3 linked regions of the Callithrix jacchus genome follow. The protein of the gene in region 2 interacts with the protein of the main gene of each other region in a pairwise test. Links are inferred from orthologs where the notes say so. Each region holds a gene or a part of one and is shown on either strand. Other genes may lie near its edges.

Region 1 (2,989 bases), on a different chromosome or scaffold from region 2:
CTCCTGGGCAGCATTTCCAGAGATGGGGAGGAGTACCTGGGAGCCCATCCCTTTATGAGCAATGTGGCTAGGGGTATATCTTCCTTCTCACAGAGGAGACTCTGGCATCTAACTCACGGTGTTCTCTATTCCTACTCCTGCCACTCTCCTGCAGTTATTTCACTTTCCACGTGGGTTGTATAAACACCACCCTGGAATCACAGGCCAGGTACCCTTTATCTCCAGAACAGTCACCTTCTGACCCTTCAACTACCTACTCTCTGGACCTTATCATCCAGATAAGGCTCTGGACTCCAGGAGTTTTGTCTCCTCTGTGTTCTTAAATGCAACTGTCTGAGCACCTATGCCCTCTCTCACTATTACCCTTCTCACAGTGCACTCCGGGACACCTAGCAGCATATGTATCACATGAGAGTCACTGAAGTCATATTTATTGAATAAACTATACTAGTTCTTGGGTCTCGTTGTGTTCATTAATCCCGCCTTTGTATCCCAATCCATTAGCTGGATCTATCCTCATTTCCACCTGCTGAAAGCTGATCTACCCTTCAAACTAGAGCTAAGGTCCTGTCTCTCCTACATGTTGCCTGCTCCCCAAATGTAGGGAAAAAAAAGAAACAGGAGGCACATCTAATTCACTTTGCAATTTCAATGTTTATTTCTGATACCAAAACTTGACAGCACACAAGGGGAAAAAAAGCAATAGACAAGGAACAGCAAATAAATTTATCTTGCATGCCACTTTCAGTCAGTAGGATGTGGCTCTCTAGATAGCTGTGTTTAGAAGGAATCCGAGGATTCAGCCTCACTCAGGGGAAACGCTATTGCGATTGATAGCAATATCTGTGAACATAAGAAAGAAAAAGTAAAAAAATCAATGATATATATCAAATAATAAGAAGTATACATACCAAAGAGTGCTGCCCCATACTTTCCTCATCTCCCCACAATGAGTTTCCTAAGACTTCTAGCTCATACACATAAATACAATCCCATGGACCCCTTGTCCCCCAGAGACCCTAACTGCCCAATCCAAAGTGATATACATACCCAGCATCTCACTCAACCCAGAAGAAACCAATGGCACCAAAGTTGGCAGCAAAGTTGGCACTGGCTGTACCACCAGGACCAATAATGGGACCGGCAAAGGTCTGAGGAAATCTGGAGCGGGCATTCTGGTGGTATCTGGCCCAGAAGGTAAATGGAATTCTGGACCAGGGATCTCCAAAATCTCCTTCTTCATCCCAGGTCAGTAGCTCAAACTCAATGTCATCCCAGCTCCAGGGCCCAGACACAGCCTCATCTCCAATTCCCATGCGGGTTCTTGCTTCAGCCCGGGCTTCAGCCTCAGCTGCAGCAGCATCCAGAGCATCCAAGGCCTCATCTGCAGCCTCCATGAACTGTGCAGTCCAGTCACGAGGGTCTCTTTTCTGAACCTGAGATGAAGAATAGAAAATAAAACAAAATCTATTTACAACAGCCAAGATATAGAATCAACCTACATGTCCATCAATGGATAAAGGAAATGTGATACATACACACAATGGAATACTTATTCAGCCTTTAAAAAGAAGGAAATCCTGCCATTTGCAATAACATGAATGATACTGAATGACATTATGCTAAGTGAAATAAGCCAGTCACAGAAAGACAAATACTGGATGATCTCACTTATACATGGAATCCAGAAAGGTCTAACTCATAGAAGCAGAGAGTAGAATGGTAGTTTCCAGGGCCTTGGGTCAGGAAGGATGGGGAGATATTGGTTAAAAGGTACAAAGTTTCAGTTAGATAGGAAGAATATGTTCTGGAGATTTACTGTATAGCATGATGACTATAGTTAATAATAATGTGTTGTACATTTAAAATTGCTAAGAGAGTACATCTTACATGTTCTCATCACAAAAAAAGTCAAGTATATGAGGCAATGGAGAATTAACTAGCTTGATGTAATCATTCCACAATGTACATGTATTATGACAACATCATGTTGCACCCTATAAATATGCATACTTTTGATTAGTCAATTAAAAAATGAATGGGCTGGGTGCAGTGGCTCACGCCTGTAATCCCAACACTTCGGGAGGCTGAGGCAGGCAGATCACTTGAGGTCAGGAATTCGAGAGCAGCCTGGCCAACACGGCAAAACCCTGTCTCTACTAAAAAAAAATTTAAAATTAGCTGGGCATGGTGGTGACATGCACCTGTAATCCCAGATACTTGGGAGGCTGAGGCACAAGAATCACTCAAACCCGAGAGACAGAGGTTACAGTGAGCCAAGATCGCACCCTTGCACTCCAGGCTGGGCAACACAGCAAAACTCCATCTTGGGAAAAATAAAAATAAATGAATGAAAAAACAAAATACTTAAAAATCACATTGTACACCATAAATATATACAATTTTTGTCAATTGTACTTTAGTAAAGTTGAGGAAAAGTAGAAATACTTTAAAAACCTAGAAAAAAAAACCCAAATTCAAAACTGTATTAGCTAATATATTAACATATTTTAGCACCTAATACATGTTAAGTTTATGTAACAGCAACAACAAATACCACCAGTAATGTGGCACCTACCACGTGCCATACCTAGGATCTCATCCCTGCCCTGGGCCTTCCCTAGCCAGCGATACTTCATCCCTTGACCTATCAATGCGGGAACAGTTCCTCCATTACCTCTGCAATGAATCTCAGCACTTTCATCTTGCTAGTCTCATGGTAGGAACGGAGGCCCCAGAGGAACTCATACTCAGGAGGGTTGCTGTTGGGCACTCGTCTGTAGTCTAGGTATCTGAAAGAGCAAAACAGTCTTTGTGTCTACCTACACAGACAGAATGGTAGTCCGCTAATGAAAAATAATCCTACATTTTTTAACATCAGATTTCAGATAGCGACTGCCCCTCAGGCTCATTCCTGAACACCATCAGGATATTTGCCCCTTAATCATCAAGCCTTGAATTCCTGCACTAGTATACTAAGCACTCTCAT
Region 2 (4,013 bases):
AAAACCTGGAGTCTCTTGTCCTGGAGTCTGATGTCCAAGGCCAGGAGGAGTGGAAGCAAGCACCTGGCATAGGAAGAAGAAAGAGCCAAAGATGCAGCAAGCAAACTTATCCCATCTTCTTCTGTCTGTTTTGTCAGAGTTGCACTGGGGGCTGATTGGATAGTGCCCACAACACTGAAGATGGGTCTTCCTCTCCTGGTTCACTGACTCAAATCTCAGTATCCTCTGGCAACAGTCTCACAGACACAACCCAAAACAGTACTTCACCAGTCATCTAGGCATTCCTCAATCCGATCAAGTTGATACCTAATATTAACTTAGTTATATAATAAATTAATTTTATTAGTTATATAATAAATATAATATATAACTAATTAATTTATTATATAACTAAGTTAATATTAGGTATCAACTTGATATTAGTTATATAAATAATAAATTAATTAACTTAGTTAATCTAAACTTTTAATTGAGTATAATTTGAAACATAGTGTTCTTAAGCCCACTAAGTAGATAATAACAGATTATAGGCCATACTAGGAATGTAAGTGCAAGCTTCTTAAAACTTCTAGTGAGATGTATCAGTGTGCTCCAAAGATCACCAGGAACATACCCATAGTAAACGGGTTTGGGTTAACTGAGTTACTGCAGCAAGGGAGAATGGATACCATGGAGAACAATAGGATGTCTTATGGGTATGTTAGAAAAGGATTTTTTTTGTAGGGCTTGGGTTTGTGTTAGCTGATTTTGGGTAAGGTTTGAGGAGGTAGAGCTTTGCTCTACATTGAATGCTCAGGAAGTGGAGATGATTCTATGATTGGGTATCTTACCAAATCTTATCTAGAAGATGAGAGGAATGAATCTTACTAACCCTTACCTGGAAGGTGGGAGGAGTGAAATGAGGCTGAAGCTGCAGTTGGTACAGCAGTAGCAGTCATTGGCCGGGATGGAAGGTTGTTTGGTCATTTTTCTGATGTGGTCAGTGTTCTTGTTTTCATCTGAGTTTTGACGTGATTATGGACTCTTAATCTATTTGTGTAATGTTGGTGTTCTTTGAAATATTTTACGTTCAAAAGGAGAACACCATGGCCTACCTGTGAGCGCCAGGCCTAACTGTACCAGACCAGTTTCTGGCTGTTAGGAGCTGTTTTTCTCCTCAAATATTGGAGGAAAAAATAGTAATACCAAGTGAAAACCAATAACTAATTGATGTAGGTAGGAAATTGTACTGAACTTCATAGCTATCCAGGGAGTGTGAATTACTGAAGAGTTTTCTTCTAAAAGCTTATAATTGGTGATTTGATGTTTGAAACATATTTAACAAAGAATCGCCCTGAACTTTTATCTTCACATAGATGTCCTTTTCTAATTAAGTACTTCAGGAGTTTGTACATATGTATACTGGCAATGCATAAAGCATTTTAGTTTAATTTTTTTGAACTCCTGTCTTGGTGTTTGCCATCAGAGCCTTGTGTCACTTTTTTGTTTTTTCTTTTTAAAAGTAACCTGAGTGGTGGCAATGTTTGTTGCTGAATGAAGGATTTCATTTTTTTTTTAGTCAACTGAAAGTCATTTGGACAAAATGAATAATAATTGAAGTAATGTTGCTTTCATTAAAGAAGTCACAACCAGTGATTACTGAGTAATCTTTGGCATTTTGTGGCTTATATTCTGCCTCTGAAAGTAGCTGCTTTGAAGGACAGTTGTAATGTTGATAAGTTCTGCATATATTTTAAAATGTATATTTATTTAAAAAAAATTTTTGAGAGAAGGTCTTACTCTGTTATCTAGGCTGGAGTGTAGTGGGGTGATCTCAGCAAACTGAACGTCTCCTCCCGGGATCCAGCAATCCTCCCATCTCCGCCTCCTGAGTAGCTAGGACTACAGGCATGTGTTGCCACACTTGGCTAATTTTTTAAGGTTCTTGTAGAGACGAAGTCTCACTGTATTGCTCAGGCTGGTCTTGAATTCCTGGGCTCAAGCAGTCCTCCCACCTTGGCCTCCCAAAGTGCTGGGATTATAGGTGTGAGCCACTATGGCTGGTCCTGCATATATTTTTTTAGCGATTTCTTTTAAGATCAACTATTTTAATTAGTTGTTTTATTTTCAAGACAAAATTATGCAAAGGTGATGATATATCAGTAATGTTATATCTGTAAACATTTTATGTATAAAGTTTTTGTATTATTTTAAGAATAGCATGAAATAAAATGAGGTTTTGAACTTACATGACTTATTAAATTTAGCAATTTCTACTAAATTTAATATATTCTATTAATAGCATGAAATAAAATGAGCTTTTAAAGTTAAATAATTGTTATTAAATTTAATAAGTTCTGTTAAAAAGTAGAGCTTTCTATTGGATTATTTTATTATAGTTGGATTTTCCTACTAAACCTTTTTACCAGCAATGCCATAGGTCTGGCATCAAGAAAGACTGATGAATGCTTCTTTTTTCCAAAATAAGTTATTAGCCATAAAGAATTTCTTTTTTTTTTTTTAAAGTCACTTCTGTATCTTCTTTTTGCTTTTTTTAAAGGAATTGTATGTATTTTTTTGTTGCATATTATTTATATACTTATTCATGAACTTCTCATTTTAAGCAAATAAATGCTTTTATTTCAGTTAATGGCCAACCAAGACCCCTTGAATCAAGTCAGGTGAAGTACCTCCGTCGAGAACTGATAGAACTTCGAAATAAAGTGAATCGTTTATTGGATAGCTTGGAACCGCCTGGAGAACCAGGGCCTTCCACCAGTATTCCTGAAAATGGTAAACTCAGAATCCATTATATTCTGATTTATTGTTCTTATGGTTTTTTTTTGGCAGGTTTTAAAAACCTGTTTTTAAGGAGGGAAGGATGACACCCCCAATGTCTCTCTCTCTGTTTTGTTCCTTCCTCTGCTTCTCTACTAGTGTTTATGCCTGTGTTCCTAAACCTTGCTGTACATCAAGATTGCTAGGAGGTTTCATTATACCAATTCCTGGATCTCATCATAGACTTACTGGAGTGTAGGGCCTGGAAATCCCATTTTTCAGGTTTTTTCTGGGTGATTCTTTTACAGCTAGTCTTGGACTTTGAGGTTTATTACACAGGCTGGTTTTCAAATCCGTTTGACTCATGAACCCTTTTTAATATAATAGATAACTGATTTTCCCCCATTTTACAGATGACAGGTACTATTTGTATTAAGATAAAGCAAGATGTGTCGACATTTGGAATGGACATGATTTTGGACCAAATGTGTTTTAAAATGTGGACTGAAATTTTAGTATGTGTTATGGCTTGAAAGTAGAGTTAAAAAACTGCTTTCTTTTTTTGTTGAAGACTCTTAGATGTTGCATTTAAAGAAAACTCTATTTTTTACAAATTCTTTATTCACTTATAATTTTCATATGTTTAAAACTGTTTACATTGTATAGTAATTTAAAAAATCTAGTCTGGATGGCTGCATATAAAGGACTTAACACGAGATAATTTTTGTGGAAATGGCATGTATTCTATTTTTGGCCACTAAATAATTTGGGAGTTTTTGTTTTCTGTCTTTATTTTAGTTACAGTCTAAACAAAGATGCATTTTTCATCATTTCTCTCTTCCTAACTTCTAATAGTCATGTGGAATTATGTTAATGGTAGATGCTTAATAAATATTTGGTGATTGATTAGTGATTTCTAGTTCCACTTCTATTTCAGAACATAACAGAGATTTGCTGAAATACTATAATGAGATTCTCTTGGTCATTTTATTATGAAACCTTTTATATTTTAGGTCAAAGAAGGTTTCCTATTCTGAACCCTACCTCTCCAAACAAATTGGATTCTTAATCCAATTCTAGATTAAGAATCGATGAAGAATTTAGACCATTTTTCCAGAAGAATTCGTAGATGCTGACACATTTGCATATAATTTCAGGGAATTTAACCATCTGCAGAATGTTAAGAAATGTAGATGAGAATTTAACCAGTATAGCCATTACTGTGCTGAAATTAGCTGCAGTAGCTCAAGTTCTGC
Region 3 (4,013 bases), on a different chromosome or scaffold from region 2:
TGTATATTATGTTTCAGTGACAGAATAGTGAGTTCAAGAAGAATAATTAATCCCATTGGTTACCAAACTCTTGGCAGGAAGCTCCTCTATAATACAGGAAAACAATGTCACTTACCCATGGACCTCCTCTCATGAGAGGCAGTACCGTTTCTAGAATATTTTGTAATTCTGCGGGTATACTGTTTTGGTTGTGACAAGATTTGTGGGGCCATGGCTAGTTTTGAATGAGAAAGTGCCAGGGATACTAGATGTTCTGCAATGTATAAGTTCCACAAAATCAAGAATTACCCTGTATCCTGAACTTTCAAATGTCTCATGAACATTCACACAAATGAAAACTAACTTACAGTCTTCTGAACTTGGAACCTAAGTCTGTTGTATTTGTAAACACAAAGGTTCCTTGTACTGTTTATTTATATACACACACACTAAATTTTCCAGAAATGCAATTACTGAGTAATTATGAGTACTGCAGTTTAATAACTTTAACATGAGATTTTACCATTTCAGAAAATCACATAGCTGATGTCGAAGTCCTTGTGGTATTTGAGTTGCCAAAACAATATGCCTGTAATCTGTTCTGCATTTCCAGTTTTTACATTCATGAAGTAGGTATAAACATCTGACTATTACATTTGTTTCCTGGTGTAGTGGTGCCTAATCACTTGCTTATTAAATTTTTGTATTACAAATTAATGTCCTTTTACTTCTTTATAATTAGGACATCATACTGATTTTTTGAAATCATGTTACATAGGTTATATCCTTTGTGCATTTCATTTTGGCAGTCATTGCAAAATATCTGTTATGAAAGGGGGTCACTATGTCTAACGAGGCTGAGAACCACCAGTCTAACGAGCTGGGGAATGATAACTGCTATACAAGGAATAATCATGCACTACAAGTCCTTGTCTGGTCCTTTCCATAGAGCCGCAATTCTCTTTTCCTCAAAGGAGCAATATATGGTGTGAGTGGGGAGAAAAGACAAGCTGATCTATTGTTTGTTCATTAATACTTCCCTCAAATAGCAAGTACATGTCACATTCCCCTATTTCATTTAATATGCCAACTACCAAAGAGCTATGAATTAAGAAGCCAAAGTACTGAGTGCTAGCCCTAACCTTACTACTAAGTAATTTTAATTCCGAATAAATGATTTGATAAAATCAATACATTCCCAGGCTTCCTCATCTGTAAAGAAAATGAGTTGTCTGAACTAGCAGCCTCAGCACCATCAGGGAATTTGTTAGAATTACAAATTCTCGGGGCCCCACCTTAACCTACTGAATTAGAGTCTGGGGGTGGGGACCAGCAGTCTTTGTTTTATAAGCCCTTCAGGTGATTCTAACACATACCAAAGTTTGAGAACCACTAGTCGAACTGTCTCATGAACATTCATGCAAATGAAAGCTAGGTCTAAATTATTTCAAAGCTCTCTTCTAGACTTAACATTCTATTCACTCTATTTAGACCAATCACCGAAACAATACAAAAATTAAGGATTCAAGGAAAGAAATGGCCGAAGGCATTGCGGGCATACTTTCTAATATTATACATTATCACATAATGGCATTTTTATTTATATGAGCTAGATTCTCAGAGTGGAATTCTCCGGTCAAAATGTATACAAATTTTTAATGTTAGATTACTTTCTTAAAAGGCTGAAAAACTCCACATTTCCACCAGCCATATATGAGTATCATTTTTTTCTACCAACATTAAGTGTCATCTCTCTTTGAAACCTTTTCTAGTCTGATAGATTTAAGTAAAGTCTCACTGTTAGGGCCGGGCGCGGTGGCTCAAGCCTGTAATCCCAGCACTTTGGGAGGCCGAGGCGGGTGGATCACGAGGTCAAGAGATCGAGACCATCCTGGTCAAAATGGTGAAACCCCGTCTCTACTAAAAATACAAAAAATGAGCTGGGCATGGTGGCGCATGCCTGTAATCCCAGCTACTTGGGAGGCTGAGGTAGGAGAATTGCCTGAACCCAGGAGGCGGAGGTTGCGGTGAGCCGAGATCGCGCCATTGCACTCCAGCCTGGGTAACAAGAGCGAAACTCTGTCTCGGAAAAAAAAAAAAAAAAAAAGTCTCACTGTTATTTAATTTGTAACCCAGACTGTAAATGCCTTTGTTTTGTTGGCAATTTGGATGTATTCTTCTATGAAGTGCCTACTCATTTTTCTTTGCCCATTTTTCTACTAGGTTCTTTCTTTCCTCTATTTTCTTCACTGTCAGAGCATTTCCCGCACCCCCCAGAAACGAGGTCTCACTATGTTGCCCAGGCTGGTCTCTAACTCCTGGGCTTAAGTGATCCTCCTGCCTCAACCACCCAAAGTGCTTGGATTACAGGCATGAGCCACTGTGCTCAGCCTCAAAGAGCATTTTAACTAAAAAATCTTAGTGAGATTTTAAGTTTTAATAACTTCCTAAGTATAAATGCTATAAACTCACAAAAATATCACTTGAAATTTTAATTATTTGAATTTCTTTTATGCTTACTTTCAACTTTTATTAATTCCCTCTTCTTGGTATCCTCTGGCTTACTGTCTTTTTAAAATTCTTTACAACTAGTACTTAGTTCCTTTATTTTTTAATATAGGTATTTAAGGATATTCATTTTCCTTTAAGCACTGCCTTCACTGTTTCCCATACTTTTTCTGTATGAAATATACATGCATTTTGTCCTTTATACATTTCTTTTTATTTCCTCTTTAATTCAAGGATTAGAGTATGTTCCTTAATTTCACAAGTAAAGTTTTTTTTTTCAGTTGGCTTTTAATTATTTATTTCTAATCTTTCTGGCTTATAAACAAAGAATATGCTCTGTAAAATCTTCCTATCTTTGAATTTGTTAATTTTATGGCTAAGTACTGTAAATTTTTTTTTAAACTGTTCCTTGGTTAGTGAAGGTGGGGAGTACATTCTCTAGTCAAAAGATATAAGGCTCCCTCTATATATTAAGTGAAGTTTATTAATCCTATTATTTAATTCCTCAGTGTTCTTACTTGTTTGTCCATTAGCAAAATGCTAATTGAAGTGATAATCTAGAAACTACAAAATTAACCGGGTGTGGTGGTGCGTGCCTGTAATCCCAGCTACTCGGGAGGTCGAGGCAGGAGAACTGCTTGAACCCGGGAGGCGGAGGTTGCGGTGAGCAGAGATCACGCCACTGCACTCCAGCCTGGGCAACAAGAGTGAAACTCCATCTCAAAAAAAAAAAAAGAAAGAAAGAAAGATAATTCAAATCTAAGTGTAACTCTATTATAAAGTAGATACACAAAAATCCTGAGTAATCTAACCTACCCTAGAACAGATCAATTAATAAGAAGCAAGTTTGTTGCATTAAAAACTTTAAATATTGATAATACATTATGGGTTTATACAGATGTTTCATATGGGAAATCATTATTTCACTCAATCTTCTTAGTTACAATTGTTGAACAAGGAACAAGTATATGAGCAATACTCTTATTAATTGCCTATCTATACACTTTCAATAAATGTATATAGCTTTTAAATTTCTTTTTTTCCTTTTGTTGTTTGGTCTAATTATGTTTGTTAAAATACAATTTTATGTCAGTTTAACATGATATAACACATGGGACCTTGTATTTTTTTGTCTGTTTTCTTCATGAGCTTTTGAACTTAATCTAATAGTTCATTCATATTTAGCAGAATAACAACATTAGTTTTTATTCCTTCCATCTTACTCTACACTTATTATTACTTATTTTACATTGTCCCTTCCTTTTTTCCTTTTCTCTATTTTTGCTGGCTTGATTTAGTTTCCACTCATTCCATTTTCCCACTTGTTAACTTGGAAGTTTTACTATGTTATTCCGCTTTATTGTCCCTCTCCCTCTTCTTATAATTAGACATATAGGATTTAACATAAGAACTCTATTTCCTCCACCTAGGATATATGCTTTCTAGCTGTGTATTAATTTTACTTAAGGATCCCATTATCATAGTTGGCTGTACTGAAACAGTGGCTATGACAAAACTTTAGCAAG

What was found. The genes of interacting proteins can lie anywhere in the genome.
Region 1: the proteins of TFG (region 2) and melanoma-associated antigen D1 interact in binary tests that used the Homo sapiens proteins (3 or more experiments, as listed by UniProt). The two-hybrid records come from large-scale screens. The link is inferred for Callithrix jacchus from reciprocal best matches to the Homo sapiens genes TFG and MAGED1.
Region 3: the proteins of TFG (region 2) and CSTF2 interact in binary tests that used the Homo sapiens proteins (3 or more experiments, as listed by UniProt). The two-hybrid records come from large-scale screens. The link is inferred for Callithrix jacchus from reciprocal best matches to the Homo sapiens genes TFG and CSTF2.

Annotation. Positions count from the first base shown.
Region 1 is NC_133524.1:52,176,595-52,179,583, reverse strand, and holds the end of melanoma-associated antigen D1, read right to left. Parts: intron 2,793-2,989; coding exon 2,678-2,792; intron 1,437-2,677; coding exon 1,059-1,436; 3' UTR 1,051-1,058; intron 844-1,050; 3' UTR 635-843; downstream 1-634. UniProt on the Homo sapiens protein: Involved in the apoptotic response after nerve growth factor (NGF) binding in neuronal cells. Inhibits cell cycle progression, and facilitates NGFR-mediated apoptosis. May act as a regulator of the function of DLX family members.
Region 2 is NC_133516.1:91,893,595-91,897,607, forward strand, and holds part of TFG (protein TFG), read left to right. Parts: intron 1-2,625; coding exon 2,626-2,772; intron 2,773-4,013. UniProt on the Homo sapiens protein: Plays a role in the normal dynamic function of the endoplasmic reticulum (ER) and its associated microtubules. Required for secretory cargo traffic from the endoplasmic reticulum to the Golgi apparatus.
Region 3 is NC_133524.1:97,137,257-97,141,269, reverse strand, and holds part of CSTF2 (cleavage stimulation factor subunit 2), read right to left. Parts: intron 3,207-4,013; coding exon 3,084-3,206; intron 1-3,083. UniProt on the Homo sapiens protein: One of the multiple factors required for polyadenylation and 3'-end cleavage of mammalian pre-mRNAs. This subunit is directly involved in the binding to pre-mRNAs.